Nothobranchius furzeri: one gene and its partner. Each later gene encodes a partner of the first gene's protein in a complex. Links are inferred from orthologs where the notes say so. Each region holds a gene or a part of one and is shown in the gene's direction. Other genes may lie near its edges.

Region 1 (7,024 bases):
CTGGGATGAGAGGCTAAATGTCTCCGACATATCCAGAAACGTCCAGCTGTTTTCTGCTAAAACTCTCAGGATGATCATGTCCAGGATGACTGAGAACTACACCTCCATGCTGCAGCAGCTTCAGTCAGAACAGAGACTGAAACTTAAATGTAGCTGCTGTCAGTAACAATCTAACAGATTTTAAAACTCTTAACAGATATAGTTCAGAAAGGAAATTTCACAACTTTGTGTGTGATTTATTATTATTTATTATTTATTATCCCTTTCCTAGTGGCAGAAGCTGGTGTGGTCCACCACAAAGAAGCTTCTCTAGCATTATGACTTTAATTATTCTACAGGTTATTCAGCCTTCTGACGCTCACACTCACACACACACACGAGTGTTGGTGAGCGGCTGCGTCTGACTGCTGACGTGTGTGTTTTTATTTCTGCAGTGAGACAATCTCACACCATCCAGAGTTTGTTCTTTAAAGCTTCTAGTAAGTCCACTGTGTTGCCGTATTTTAACGTTTCCTCTACGCTGCAGGAGTTAAAGTTTACATTACGGGGTAAAAGTTCGGCAGACGCATTTGTTTATATTTGGCCGCTGCGTGCACGGTTGGGGGAGGGGGGACTTGGTGCTGCAGACAGACAGCTGGTGTGATCAGCTCTGAAAAGCGTTGATCACAATTAGCAGATCACGTTTATTTTTCATGGAGATTGGCCGCGGTTTCCTTTTCCGGTCGGCATACTAAGAATCGAAAACTAGGAATTGAAGTAAAAAACTTTGAACGACTCCATGAAAAACTAACAGTTGGTCCCAGTTCCAATCGATGCTCGATTCCCAACCCTACACCGTATCCCTTCCCCCGCGCTGGCTGTTGCCGTCGCTGTAACACAGGGGGAAACCCCGAATGTAAAAGTTACACAACATATCCTGGATCAGTCAAAACCGCCCCAAAACCCCAGCTTTGACGATCATGTGATCGTGCTGTTTGAAATCGCAATTTCGGTCCCAAAAAAAAAAAAACGATAGATCGTTCAGCCCTAGGTGACAGCCCCATCTAGTGGACAACTTTTGTTTCTGCGCACACCTGTAGTTATTGTCCATTTATCGTTATCGAGGTGAAATGCTCAATATATAATGATATTGATTTTAGGCCGTATCGCCCAGCCCTACTTGAGTTTATCTTAATTTTTAAAATCTTTTGCAGAACTTACTCACGAGTTCCTTCAAATCCTGGAGAAAACACCCAGTCGGCTGAAACGCATTCGCAACTGGAAGGTACACGTTTTATTTTCCCACCCACTTGATACAATCTGGTCTTTCTGCAATTTGTAAATTTTAATGAACTTTAATCTTTGACTTTTTGGCATTTTAGGCTGGCGGTCAGACACCCAAAGTCAAGCCAAAGATTCAGGAAGATGGCGACCAGAGGGACACCATGATCAACATGATTTCTATGGCTTCATCAGAGAGTACTGTAGCGGGCCTGTTGAGCCTCTCAGCTCCACCGTCCACCTCCTCTTCATCATCTATCAGTGACAAGGACAGGGCTATGCCCATTAGTGCTCAGACGTGGAGTGGAAAGGGTCAGGCTGGAACTGAGCAGCAGCAGCAGCCCAACCATGAAGTGCACACCCCAGCAAAGGTATCCCTGAGTGAGTACCGTGCCAAAAATGCTGATGTCCTGGCAGCACAGAAGAGAAAGCTTGAGAACATGGAGGCCAGTGTGAAGAGGGAATATGCAAACGCAGCCCAGGCTCTCATTGGCCAGCAGCAGAGAAAGGAGAAGCAACAGCATCATCATCACCAGCAGTCCAGTTCCTCTTCCTCCTCTGACATGCCCAACCCATCACCCATTATTCTTAAAATTCCCTTGGAGAAGGAGAGGCATCTGAAAATGCGTTTTCCACACACCGGAGCAGTCAGTGACGCCACTCGAGGTCAGGATCCAGACATCAAAGTAAAAATACGAGTGCCTGAGAAGCAAAGAGGGAGTTCTGGAGAGGAGGGCAAGAGTAGCAGGGACAAGCACAGGGACCGTGCATACCATCATCACCATCATCACAACCATCATCCTCACCACCATTCCTCCTCTTCTAGCAGTGCTTCAGTTTCTTCTTCACACAAACATTCATCTGCTTCCAGTGGAACACTGGGAAGCAGCAAAAAAGTTCTGAGCTCGTCCTCTTCCTCCTCCTCATCTAGAAAGCGGGTACACTCCCAAGACCCTGTAGCAGGCTCCCAACCAGCTGCCAAAGCCAGCAAGACTTCTAGAAATCCCTACCAGTTACCGTCCCTGTCTTCCTCCTCAGGGCAAACTCTGGCTCACGGATTGGACATTCTGCCTTCTCTGAGCCTTTCCCACAGCCAGGGGACGTATTCACACTCCAAAACTGACAAAACAGATACTAATGGACACGGTTCAGCAAGCGGGGGCCAGTCTAATGAGTACCAGGACACTTTTGAAATGCTAAACTCATTGCTGAGCGCTCAGGGGGTCCAACCATCTCAGCCATCCATGTTTGAATATAGATCTCATTATGGTGACTATCGGTACACTGGTGGCTCCAGAGGGAACAACTCCAGACCCCCACCCTTACCTTCAGAACCGCCTCCCCCACTTCCACCTTTACCCAAATAGACCTCTGATCAGGAGTTGTTCTGTACATTGTACTTGAAGTCCCAAACGTCCTCTTTGTTACATAAAGCATTGTATAAGTTTTTTGTGTCTTCTACACACCCAACATGTTGGTAGGCTGAAAATGACTTTCCCCTTTTACTTGTGGGGCAATAACAAGGTTTGAGAGCCTCGCCGAATGTGGGATTAAAAAAAAAGACTTAGCGGAAATTGTATATATATAAATATTTATATTTTCTTTTTGTAACTTCCAATGCGATGTGGTTGAGGTTAAGAAATGAGTTCTGTTGAAATTTTAAAGGAATCCAAACTGCCATCAGAAACCTTTTTAGGTTCTTTTACCAGTTATTTTTGTAATGGTTTTATAGTATGTTATTTATTGATTGAGTGGTTTTTAAAAAACGTTCTTTTAAAATTAATTTTGGTTTAAGAACGCATATCTCCAAAGCCATGTTTAACAGCAACCTGGTTCCATACCTAGTGTTTGTTTTTGTTTGCAGCATTTTTTATTTTTTGGGTACCATGTATGAAGATTGTATAGTCAGATGTTTTAAACATTTTTTTTACATTTGTTACTGAAAATTACAAACAAAAAAGGGGGGGGGGGGGTGACGTAAGCGAACTTGTACGTCTCTCTTTAGACTTGGTGTTGCAGTCATTGTTTTAAATGGTTGTAAAATATGCATACTTTGTTCCTTAGTAAATAAACACACTAACTTCATATGGCGGACACACTTTTGTTCTAAAAGTACAAACATATCCACCCAATATGGTTATTATGAAGGACTTACAAGAAAAAAACAATACCTTTTAGTTTTTAAGAATTTCAGAGCAAACGAGGCTGCATTGATTGATTTATGATTTCATTTTTTATTTTTATTTTTTTCCTGATTGCCCAACAGTGCTCGTTTGTAAACAGCTGGGTCAAAAACATCTATTATGCTTTCCGATCACCTATGAATGTTCAGTATGCAACAGCACAATAATACAGTATCAAAAATAATCATGTGGTTTCTGGAATGTCAAAGCCGGTGGTACACAACTTCTCTGGTCTCATGTTCTGATGTTTTTATTTTCTTCTATTTTTATATACTAGGTTGTTCGTAACCCATCTTCACACTGTTCTTAAATTCGCATGTGTTCTGTAAATTAGTAAAATCCTAGATGGCATGCTGGCTGTCGGTATATCTCCGGTACAGGTTCTTGAGCATGAAGTCACTTAGTGATTGTTTAAATTTGATGCTTGGTTTTATATTTGTTGGTAGGAGATTCGGCTGTCATCTGGACATTTCATCCATATTGGGCTTTATATGGGTTTGGTTGTGTAGTATTACTGCTTTGACCTTATTTTTATGTTGTCATATAAAGTGGTTAAGGCAGTTTACAGCAATGCAGTAGAACAAATCAGCCATGCAACTACATTTTTGTTCCCTTGAAATACATGCTGGAAAAGAAATATTTCTTTGCTCAAGCAGCAGATGTTTTACTTCAATTTTTTGTTGTAACTGGGAATTGGTTAAATGCACTGAATATTTATCTTTGTGGGTTTGACTGCAATGTAATTGACAAAGTGTTAATTTGTACAGTGGGTAAATAAGGAAAGTGAATTTCAAATGCATTTTTTAAAACATGAGCTATGTGGTTTGGAGAAAGCGTTGAACTTGAGTATTAACATGCTATGGGGAAAATCGTGGAACACATTTTATTATAAAAACCTATATATATATATATATATATATATATATATATATATACAAACAGAAGACACTCATGCAACCTAACAATGCAAAAATCACATTTTCAATAGTCTTAAGTTTCATGTTTCTTCTTGTCTTGGTGTTTTTATTGACACTCAGGTCTGGAAATAAAAGTTTTTTTCATTAAGTTATATGTAAACACTGTTCTTTTTGATATGTGGTTGCTTTATTCTAAAAGTCAATAAATATTTTAAATACATTTTTGGTTTTAAGTTTTACAATCACCCGTCAGTGTCGTCTCAACAAGTTTGCCTCCGAAATGAGTGACAGTTGGATTAACCAATAAACCGTCTGGGTGTCTCCCATCCTGACCAATGAGAGCTTAGAGTGGGCGGGGCTGCCGACATGCTGAGGAAACTGCACGAAGGTTAGCATTGTGCTACATGTCTATTGTGAGGACAGCAGACGCGAGAGGGGCGAGCAGTTTTACTTCACACAACGGGTATTGTTTTACATCTTAATGTCAAATTATTTCAATAACACTAAGATGAATGTCTGACTGTTGCCATCTATCAGAAAAGCTAATTCCCTCGCTTCGAATTATTCCAGTTGTCAGTCAGCTGCCGTTGTCACTAGCTACACAAAAATGGCGGCCCATTAACTGCAGGATTTGGAGTGACGCAGTGAAGAGGCGGGTTTAAGCTCGTTGTAGTCTCCTATTTCCACATGTTTTGAAGTCCTTTTCGTCGTTAGCGTGGCCTTTCGTTTGGGTAGACCAGCGACGGTTTTCTGCTCTGTGTAGAACCTCGATACTTCTTGTCTGGTCCAAAATTAGAGAAATTGTTAGTAGTGTGGAGAAACTATTGCCGCGTGTGTTTGTTTACTGTAAGTATGAAACTGTTTTATGTTGTTTACCAGCTTTAGCTAATGTAGCTGTAGATTTGTTTGCGTTAGGGACTTGGGATTTAAAAACTGTATTTTGTCACAGACTGTCAGTTTTGCAGAGGTTTTCAAAAGAATCACAGAAACAATCCGCGTATTAGTCAGTGGGTGTATCACTACTGTTACTGTCAACAATATTATGGCATAATTTCCCAATATCGTGCGGCCTTGTGGAAATAGAAGTGGACCAACATAGATAAATATAATCTATTAGAAGATTACAGATAGAATAATGAACATCGATGTTCCCTTAGAAATGCTCTTGAAATGTCCTCACACCATGTCTGCAAAGGATGTATCTGAAATTGTCATCGAAGAATACATACGGTGATGTTTTTGGCTTGTAAAGAAAAGATGTCCACATATTTTTTAATTAAATATAAAAAGACAACATTTAGACTGTTCCTTTTTCTACAAGCAATAGAAAAATGGCAGTGTGAAAATGATCAATATTCACCACTGATTATAAATTGTCTCTAAAAATATCAGCTTAATAGTAAAAATGTACATATAGTATTTTATTTTGAACCAAATGATTGTTTACCATTTTGCATGAACGTGTTCGCTGACTTGCTGCTTCAACTTTCTGGAGCAGTAGGGTACAACCCTGGTCCTTGTGGGACCCTTTCTGGCACGTTTTAGAGGTTTCTCTACTTCAACACACCAGCTTTTATTCAGTGGGTGGTCAATAGGCTTGATGACCTGCTGAACAGGTAATTCATCTATTGAATTAGGTGTGTTGGAGCAGAGAAACAGATAAAACCTGTAGGATGGTGCCCCTGAAGACCAGGGTTGGAGTCCCTGAACTAAGGAATACTCTACCTTGACCGAGTCTACTTAAACCATTTTCTCCTAAAGTATTTATATAAAAATCCATGTTAATGATTTTGTGGATACTTTTCAGGCTTGAAATGAACAGGATACGAATCCACGTCTTGCCTTCGAGTCGTAACCGGGTGGCCCAGACTCGTCCACAGGAGCCCCAGGCCTGTTCCTTCACCCTACGACCGTGTTCTCAGCCACGTCTGGAAGGTTTGGAGTTCTGTATTAAACACATTCTTGAAGACAAGAATGCGCCATACAAGCAGTGCAGCTATGTCTCTGTCAAGAACGGCAAGCGCTGCCCCAATGCAGCTCCAAAGGCAGAGAGGAAAGATGGGTAGGCAGAAGTTCACACATTCATCAACTTTAAGGCTGTTTTCACACCTGCAGTTTGGTTCCTTTGGTCCAAATTTCTTTGTGATTTTGTTACATTACAGGGGTTTTTCTGCGCTTCAGTTTATTTTTGTACAGAAAAAAATAAACATGAGACCTCACTACAAACCAAGTGAGACTGTTCAGTCTTCTGAGTAGTCAGATAGTCTGGGGAGTGGCTACAAACGTAAACACAGGAAGAAGCTTGTGTGTTGTGATCATGAGCTATTTTTGAACCCTTTGAATGTGTTTTTATGATTCAGAGATAATAAATCTTGGCATCTGTCCAAAAATAAGTGAGTTTATTTGGAACCACTCGGCGACCACCTCCTGTAGCAGGTCTCGGTATGGTTTTGTTATGTACCCTAGCATCATCACTAGGAATGTAAGAAAATTTCAATGCACTGAAAGGTTTCTTGTTATGATATTGAATTAATGTTTAATAGTACATTATATGAACATTTTACAATGAAATTATCACAAAAACACCTAATGTCTCAATCATAATGAAAGGAAGGCTACATTGAAACAGATCTGCTTCTCAGCAGGCTAAAGGGTTATTGGTTA
Region 2 (8,170 bases), on another chromosome or scaffold:
CAGAACGACCAGATCAGTCTTGAGTTGTCTCCAGGTCACAACAGACATGAAGGTTGGTTGCGTCTAAGACGGATGGACTCTTAAGGAGTCGTGCGGCTGTGTCAGCTTTGCAGCGTGCAAACAGGTTTTGACTGGATGTTCAGTTCAGTTCTTTTTTTTTTCAAACATTTCACACGTATCATTACAAAATATAATTTCATTATTTGTTTGAAAAGGAGTAGGAAGAAGTATTATTTGTCCCTACCCCCAAGTTTTACCTCTTATTCATTTAATTTTCTTTCAGTCTTAAATTAAACAAACAACATATGAAAAAAATATATTAAAAAAATAAACAAAACAACATATGGTAAACAGAGAATGTGTAAGTTTGCAGATTCACCAGTTATGGAGAAAAAAAGAAAAACCAAACAAACCAAAAAACACCGAAAAAGAAGCACAACAGTATAATGAACTTATATAGATTATATAAGTATCCTGGATATTTATACATGATATAAGCTTCATATGCTAATTTGCTTGATCATTCTCAGGATCCAACAAAGCTGATAGCAAACAGCGTTATATGCTAGTACGTAGATTATCCATGCTACACCTGTGTTAGCTGGATAGAAAATAGTCTCCTACACCTATCTCCTGTGTTAGCTTCTGATAGAAAATAGACAATGAAACGCTCCTGGGTGGATACATCATCTGTCTGTCTCTGCTTTCCATGGAGGATGTAAAATATATTTGTAAATTTGAATTCATGATAACTAGGTTTCTGCTGTAAGGAGTAGGCAGGTGCCTGGTGTATTGCAAAATTCAGAAGCCGACATGCAGCGTTATGTTAAATGCACTGGGTTTTACCCTATTACATTTACATTTCATGGTTAAACAGTACATGTTAAAATCTAAGCTCAGCTCGGCAGTGACCTAAAATACATAAATATAATTTTACTTACTGAAAAAAATGAAGTGGAGACTCCTTGGACGCTCTATTAGTGCAATTAATGCCACAGCAAGTCATTTTGTCCAACAATTGCACAAAAAATATCCAAAACAGAAAAAACAAACAGAGACTCAAGATGCCGGAACAGTTTCCAGGCCAGACCGAGGCTCTACTGAGGCCTTTCCATGGAGCTAGCTCTGTGGTCACGTGGGTCTGATGCTCATTAATTATACAGAATTTTAGGCTTTTAACACACTTAAACAGAAGAGTGAGAAAAAAATTCACCCCCCTCAGAGTTGTCATGAGTGTAAACTAGATCATTTAAACCAAAAACATGTTTTGGTACCAGGCTGTAAACATGTTTATTTCTGCTATGAAATTGGTATTTTTAACATGGGAGTCAATGAGGATTTGCTCGCTTCTGACACCAGCCCCTAGTGGATGACGGTGGAACTGCAATTTTTGGTACTTCCGGTAGTCTGGGGATCAAATCCCACCCGGGCCCTCGTTTCTCCACCTTGCCACATTTAGAAAACTAGAAGTAAATACAAATAAAGACACTGGATATACGCTTTACGTTAGCATCCACCATCAGCGTCTCCTGGCTAGGACCTTCTGTCACATGACTGCAACTCTACTCGGCTTTCACACATACGTTTTGGAAAGACATCAGCAGTTTTGTTAATAAATTCTTGTTCGTTAACACCTAAATGTCGTCGTCGTCGTCTTCCTCCGCTTATCCGGGTCCGGGTCGCGGGGGCAGCATCCCAACTAGGGAGCTCCAGGCCGTCCTCTCCCCGGCCTTGTCCACCAGCTCCTCCGGCAGGACCCCAAGGCGTTCCCAGACCAGATTGGAGATGTAACCTCTCCAACGTGTCCTGGGTCGACCCGGGGACCTTCTGCCGGCAGGACATGCCCGAAACACCTCCCCGGGGAGGCGTCCAGGAGGCATCCTGACCAGATGCCCAAACCACCTCAACTGACTCCTTTCGATCCGGAGGAGCAGCGGTTCTACTCCGAGTCCCTCCCGAATGTCCGAGCTCCTCACCCTATCTCTAAGGCTGAGCCCGGCCACCCTACGGAGGAAACTCATTTCGGCCGCTTGTATCCGCGATCTCGTTCTTTTGGTCATTACCCAAAGCTCATGACCATAGGTGAGGATTGGGACGTAGATCGACCGGTAAATCGAGAGCCTGGCTTTCTGGCTCAGCTCCCTCTTCCCCACGACAGATCGGCTCAGCGTCCGCATCACTGCAGACGCCAAACCAATCCGCCTGTCGATCTCCCGATCCCTCCTACCCTCACTCGTGAACAAGACCCCCGAGATACTTAAACTCCTCCACTTGAGGTAGGACCTCTCCCCCGACCCGGAGTTGGCAAGCCACCCTTTCCCGGTCGAGAACCATGGTCTCAGATTTGGAGAATCAACCTAAATGTTTTCTTTATAATTCTAATTTGTTAATAAAACACCATATTATCTTTGTTTTGTAAAAAATGTGAAACTGCATAAAACCAACATCAGACTGACAAAAAATAGAACAGTTCTTACATGTGAAGCCATATCTGTTTGTATTAATGGGGACTTCGTCTGTATATTTCCTTAGTTGTTATCTAAATACATTCTTTGACTCAAAATATTTCTTGGTGTCTTTCAGTAAACTTCTTATATTTTATTTTGCCCTATTTCATCAACATCAAGAACTTTTGAGGGTCACCGTTTATCATTTGCTTATATTTTACATTTCCTTTAGAAATTCAAACATATTTTCTCCAAAAAGTGTTGATTTTTGGACTACAGGACTACAACCGCTAAGACTACGACCGCAAATTTGTTCTGACCAATTAAAATCAAACGTGATAACGTAACTTCCGTAAGCTTCATGTTCAGCCAATCAACTACTTTGACGTCATCGGCAGTCGAAGGACCCCGAGCCGGTTCTGCACCCGAGCAGATCCTGTACCGACACCGGGGCCTGTTTATTCGGGTGGAAAAAGTTGATTTGGGGGTGAGTTTTGGGTTTTGAACGTGTCCTTGGGGGACTTGTAGTTACATCTGCTGTCCAGTTGGTGGCAGAATATCCTCTGTGGTTTGTTTCCAACCCTCCATTAAACAGAAGAAGAAGAAGAAAGGCGAACGTCAACGCAGTCATGCAGCGGGAGAAAGCTAGCAGCGCTGGCGCGGCTGAAAAGTAAGATTTCCAACTACGAATTCGCTCATTTGTTATATATGTTTTATATTTAAGTTTTTGGGTATGTCTGTGTGGTGTGTCTTGGTTTTTCTGTCTATAAGTTTCCTGATATTCAGTCTAACCTCTTTGTCCCCACCAGGCCGGACCGCGAGGCCGCCATAATGTCCAAATATTACGACGGAGTGGAGTTTCCTTTCTGCGACGAGTTCTCCAAGTACGAGAAACTGGCCAAGATAGGACAGGGAACCTTCGGGTGAGACAGACGTGTTTGAGACGTTTCATTGTGCGGTAAAGTGAACGGGTCTGTGTTTGTGCTAGCGGTGCTAGCTGATGTAGCATCGGCCATGTTCTGGCTGTGTTGTGCACACAGAGGAGGGCTAGCTCTGTTTCAGGGTCTTTAGTTGCAGCAGGGACGGAAACTCAGTAAAGATCCAAAGAAAAACCATGATGGACCGTCAGGAAGACCTAATTCGGGGTGCCAACTGGCACTGGCGGGCCGGTATAAAGCATGTTTTAGCGGTTTCTCTGCTCCAACACGCTTTAGTGGTTAAATCACTGTACAGCAGCTCATCAGGCTCTGCAGAAGCCTGTTAATCACCCGCTGATTAAAATCAGGTGTGGTTAAAACTAAAACATGGGTACCCCTGCCTTAAGGGGTTACAGGTAACTGGATCAAGACTGTTACTGATCCTGATTTCTAATGTTTACTCTGAAATTAGGGTTTGCGCTTGTCAATAACATTTAAGTCCTTGTTCTAAAACAGGATAAACGTGTGTTTGTGTCTTTTCAGGGAGGTGTTCAAAGCCAAGCACCGGCAGACGCAGAAGAAGGTTGCTCTGAAGAAAGTCCTGATGGAAAATGAAAAGGAAGGGGTGAGAGACGAGAACCTGGTAGCTCATTTAGAGATGTTGAAAGACTTTACGTCAGTTATGATCTGAAGTGTGAAGCTGGCAATCATATGGGTCTGAACAGCTGGATGTTCCTGGGCCTCAGAGGCTCGAACTAGAGCTGATTTCTTCATCACCACCGGCTCTCACAGCATCCGCGTCCAAACCCGCCTCTCCATGTTAGCTACCTCAGTTGAACTCTCCATCTTCTAGCAGGTTAATGTGGTGCCCACAGTTTTGTCCTCAGTCGCTCGCCTTGCTGAGATTAGCATTGGGACCCGTGGGATACCAGTCCCATTGCAGGGCTCTAATTGGATCCCCACTCGAGTGCGCTAAAGCTTAGAACAAGTGAACAGGGTTTAACGTCCACCACAGTGGACCCACGTGGTCGGTATTGGTTGTGTTGTGTCTGGGCAGTACCTGATACTGGTACGGTCATGGGTGCATCCCTGATCCACGTCCCAGAGTGGCCCCTGCTCTCCTGCAGCCTGAAGAGAGCCTGAAACAAGACAGATCTGAGTTTCTGTTGCTGCTTGTTGTGGTTAAAATCACAGCTGAGATCAAATCAAAGATACTTTATTAATCCCAGAGGGAAATTAGAGTTTCAGTACACACAATTCAGAGATCAGACACACATGGGCAAGACACATGACAAGAATTGGTGACTGTGGTCATTCGCAACCCTGAGTCGCGCTACCTTAATAGAGATAAGAGGGTTACATGAGGATTGGTTCAGGTGGAGGGAAAAAAGGCACTTCAGAGCTACCCTCCACAGGGAGGGCAGCTTTGCTCTGCAAAAAAACACCTCAGACATATAAGCATGAACATCAACAGTCCACAACATGAGACTCCCAATAGGAAGGCGGGGTGGGGCTGGGATCCTTCTTCCCCCAGCGAGAGCAGCCATCAGATGGGCCATTCCCATCTGTACCGGGTCAGCCTGGGCCAGGTAGCCCCAGTCGGCCCCAGCCTGGCCCGGTTGATTCCACACACCCTTTCCTTAAGCCCATGTGGGCTGATTCTACCCACCAATCAGAGGCTTGCTCTAATGGAAGGTGTGAATTTGCTGTCAGCAGTGGGTGTGTTGGCCCTGGTCGGCCTGAAGCAGACCCCCTCGAGAAGAGGGCTGAGAATGAGCCTTGGTTGGCCCGGAAAAATACCAGGCCACCCAGATATGTAAACAACCTACGCTACCCGGCCCGGGCCGACCCGGTACAGATGGGAATGGCCCATAAGGCGCTCATCTACTGTACAGTCACAGGTGGGAGGGAGATCTTGGGAGGCGTGAAGAGCACATTGACTCCTCCAGCTGATGACCTCGCCAGGCTGAAGTCCACCAATTGGGGGGGGGGGGGGGGGGGGTTCACAGCATCTAAAGTTAAAGTCCCATTAGTTGTCACACACACAGGTGTGTGTGCGAAATTTATTCTCCGCATTTGACCCATCCCCTGCGGGAGCGGTGAGCTGCAGACAAGCCGCGCTCTGGAACTATTTGGTGGTTTAACCCCCCAATCCAACCCCTATGCTGAGTGTCAAGCAGGGAGGCATTGGGTCCCATTTTTTCAAAGTCTTTGGTATGACCCGTCCAGGAATCGAACCCCTGACCTCCCAATCATTTTGACTCTGGTGAAGCTGAAGAACACGTTAGAACTTCTCACTGGTTTGAAGGTGGTGGGGTGAATGCTGGAGAGCTCTTATCTGAGTTCAGGATAGAAATATGTGGTGCAGACATGACAGGAGTCTTTCACTGAGGCTCCTTCATTCAGTCTGGAGAACTTCAACAGCTGGGTAGATGTATTGATCACCACTGATGATCAGCTGTGTGAAGGTGGAGAACCATTTTCATGCACAGATGGAGACATGAGAGGGACGACACCGCTGTCTTAGATTACAGCTCACTTTGGTTAAAGTAATATGAACATAAACAAATGACCCGAGTCGTCTCATTAATATCACCGCGTGGACCGCATCTCCAGCATCGCTCAGTCTTCGTTTCGTTTCAGTTCCCCATCACAGCTCTGAGGGAGATCAAGATCCTGCAGCTGCTGAAACACGAGAACGTGGTGAACCTGATTGAGATCTGCAGAACCAAAGGTTAGTGGCTTCAGGCCGGATCTTCAGCTGCAGGAACCATCTGCTGCTGGAGCTGAAGGTGACACCCAGTGTTTTTGTTGTTGCAGCGACCCAGTTCAACCGGTACAAAGGCAGCATCTACCTGGTGTTCGACTTCTGCGAGCACGACCTGGCCGGGCTGCTGAGCAACGCTAATGTGAAATTCACGCTGGCAGAGATCAAGAAGGTGATGCAGATGCTGCTGAACGGGCTGTACTACATCCACAGGAACAAGGTGAGACCGATCAGAAGCAGAACATTAAAGACCCGGTCTCAAGTGGGCCCGGTCCTAAATCGTGTGTTCTGGTTCAGATTCTGCACCGAGACATGAAGGCCGCCAACGTGCTCATCACCAGAGACGGCGTCCTGAAGCTGGCGGACTTTGGCTTGGCTCGGGCCTTCAGCCTGGCTAAGAACAGTCAGGGGAACCGCTACACCAACCGGGTCGTCACGCTCTGGTACCGACCTCCGGAGCTGCTGCTGGGTATGAGCCTCTCTGGACTTCTGAAGGAACGTTCTGTAACAAAGAACCCTCTAACAGAACCTGGCTCTGTGTCCTTCAGGTGAGCGGGACTACGGACCCCCCATAGACCTGTGGGGAGCGGGTTGCATCATGGCGGAGATGTGGACCAGGAGTCCCATCATGCAGGGGAACACCGAGCAGCACCAGCTGACTCTCATCAGCCAGCTGTGCGGCTCCATCACAGCTGAGGTCTGGCCCACTGTGGACAAGAAGTATGAGCTGTACCAGAAGATGGAGCTGCCCAAAGGCCAGAAGAGGAAGGTGAAGGACCGCCTGAAGGCCTACGTTAAAGACGCGTGTGCTCTGGACCTCATCGACAAACTCCTGGTTCTGGACCCATCGCAGCGTATCGACAGCGACGACGCGCTCAACCATGACTTCTTCTGGTGTGACCCGATGCCATCGGACCTGAAGAACATGCTGTCCACTCACAACACCTCCATGTTTGAGTATCTGGCTCCGCCCAGACGGAGAGGCCATATGCCCCAGCAGCAGCCCAACCAGAACCGGAACCCGGCCACCACCAGCCAGACTGAGTTCGACCGAGTGTTCTAGTGCGGTACCGGCAAATGGGCCAACAGAACTTTTGTTTCCCCGGCGGGGAGAACATTCCCGTTTCCTGCTTTAGGCGTCCCGCTGGGCTCGCTGCTCGGTCTCGTTTGAGTGATGACCGTTCTGGTTCTACAGGAACAGCTTACTCTGACTGCACGTGGTTCTGACCCAAACTTTAGTTTTAAGTTTTTTTTGTGTTTGAATCAAAAACACAAATAAAAACCTTTTTTCTTCTTTGAATGAATCACGTGTTCCAGGACTAAATGGAGCCGGGACCTGCAGCAGGTTGGTGTCTTCGTCTCCATGGCAACAGATGTTCTAGTACCTTGAGTGGAGCAGCACTTCTCTATTGATGAGATAAAACGGACTGGTCTGCTGGTTCCTCAGACTGCAGCGGACTCGTCTGACCACCAGGTGTCAGCACCTGCCCTGAACATGGCGTCAGGATCACACACCCCGAGTCATTAACCTTTTTTACTTGAAATCAGGCAACATTTTAGTTGTCTGGTAGAAATAGTCTAATTATATAAATATGAGAGATCTGTTCGACATCTAAACTTTGCTTTTACGCATTTTCTTTTTTGCTTTTGTTTTACTTGCATTTTACATTTTTAAAATCTGTTAAGTGTTTCTGTTTGAATTTCGTGTATTTTATGTTTATTCACATTTTTATTGTAGAGCCTGTGAAACTGATTTCCCCTGAAACATTCTGATAATAAAGGAGACACTTCGGTTATAATTGTTCTATGGTCAAAATAAAATCGAGTCTTCCGACTCCTTTAAAGCAGCAGTGGGGGCGTTGGACCTCAAGTGGAAGGTCATTCCACAGCTTAGGGGCCAAAACCGAGAAGGCCCCGCCTCTTCTGGTCAAGCATTTTACCGACTAGGAGCTACTAGTAAGTCTTGCTGTGGAGACCTAAGTGCACACGGTGAGTTGTACCGACTGGGCATCGATTGGAATCGGTTCCAACTGCTAGTT

Evidence for each region.
Region 2: the proteins of ccnt1 (region 1) and cdk9 are in contact, whole or in part, in a crystal structure (PDB 3BLH), measured with the Homo sapiens proteins. The link is inferred for Nothobranchius furzeri from reciprocal best matches to the Homo sapiens genes CCNT1 and CDK9. Residues at the interface, in NP_001231.2 of Homo sapiens: Arg5, Lys6, Arg11, Trp12, Arg26, Ile72, Gln73, Phe78, Phe89, Leu90, Lys93, Val94, Pro98, Lys99, Lys100, Leu101, Val134, Glu137, Ile139, Leu141, Gln142, Thr143, Gly145, Phe146, Glu147, Leu148, Thr149; in NP_001252.1 of Homo sapiens: Val8, Glu9, Cys10, Pro11, Phe12, Cys13, Lys56, Glu57, Gly58, Phe59, Ile61, Leu64, Ile67, Lys68, Gln71, Leu72, Leu81, Ile82, Glu83, Ile84, Arg86, Ile99.

What each region holds. Positions count from the first base shown.
Region 1 is NC_091755.1:57,565,795-57,572,818, reverse strand, and holds the end of ccnt1 (cyclin-T1), read left to right. Parts: intron 1-1,193; coding exon 1,194-1,264; intron 1,265-1,361; coding exon 1,362-2,627; 3' UTR 2,628-4,580; downstream 4,581-7,024. Other genes in the region: kansl2 (KAT8 regulatory NSL complex subunit 2), read left to right, coding at 4,765-4,823, 6,168-6,422. UniProt on the Homo sapiens protein: Regulatory subunit of the cyclin-dependent kinase pair (CDK9/cyclin-T1) complex, also called positive transcription elongation factor B (P-TEFb), which facilitates the transition from abortive to productive elongation by phosphorylating the CTD (C-terminal domain) of the large subunit of RNA polymerase II (RNA Pol II).
Region 2 is NC_091742.1:88,947,123-88,955,292, reverse strand, and holds cdk9 (cyclin-dependent kinase 9), read left to right. Parts: upstream 1-2,972; 5' UTR 2,973-3,076; coding exon 3,077-3,117; intron 3,118-3,256; coding exon 3,257-3,370; intron 3,371-3,907; coding exon 3,908-3,989; intron 3,990-6,007; coding exon 6,008-6,098; intron 6,099-6,184; coding exon 6,185-6,351; intron 6,352-6,428; coding exon 6,429-6,600; intron 6,601-6,679; coding exon 6,680-7,194; 3' UTR 7,195-7,930; downstream 7,931-8,170. UniProt on the Homo sapiens protein: Protein kinase involved in the regulation of transcription.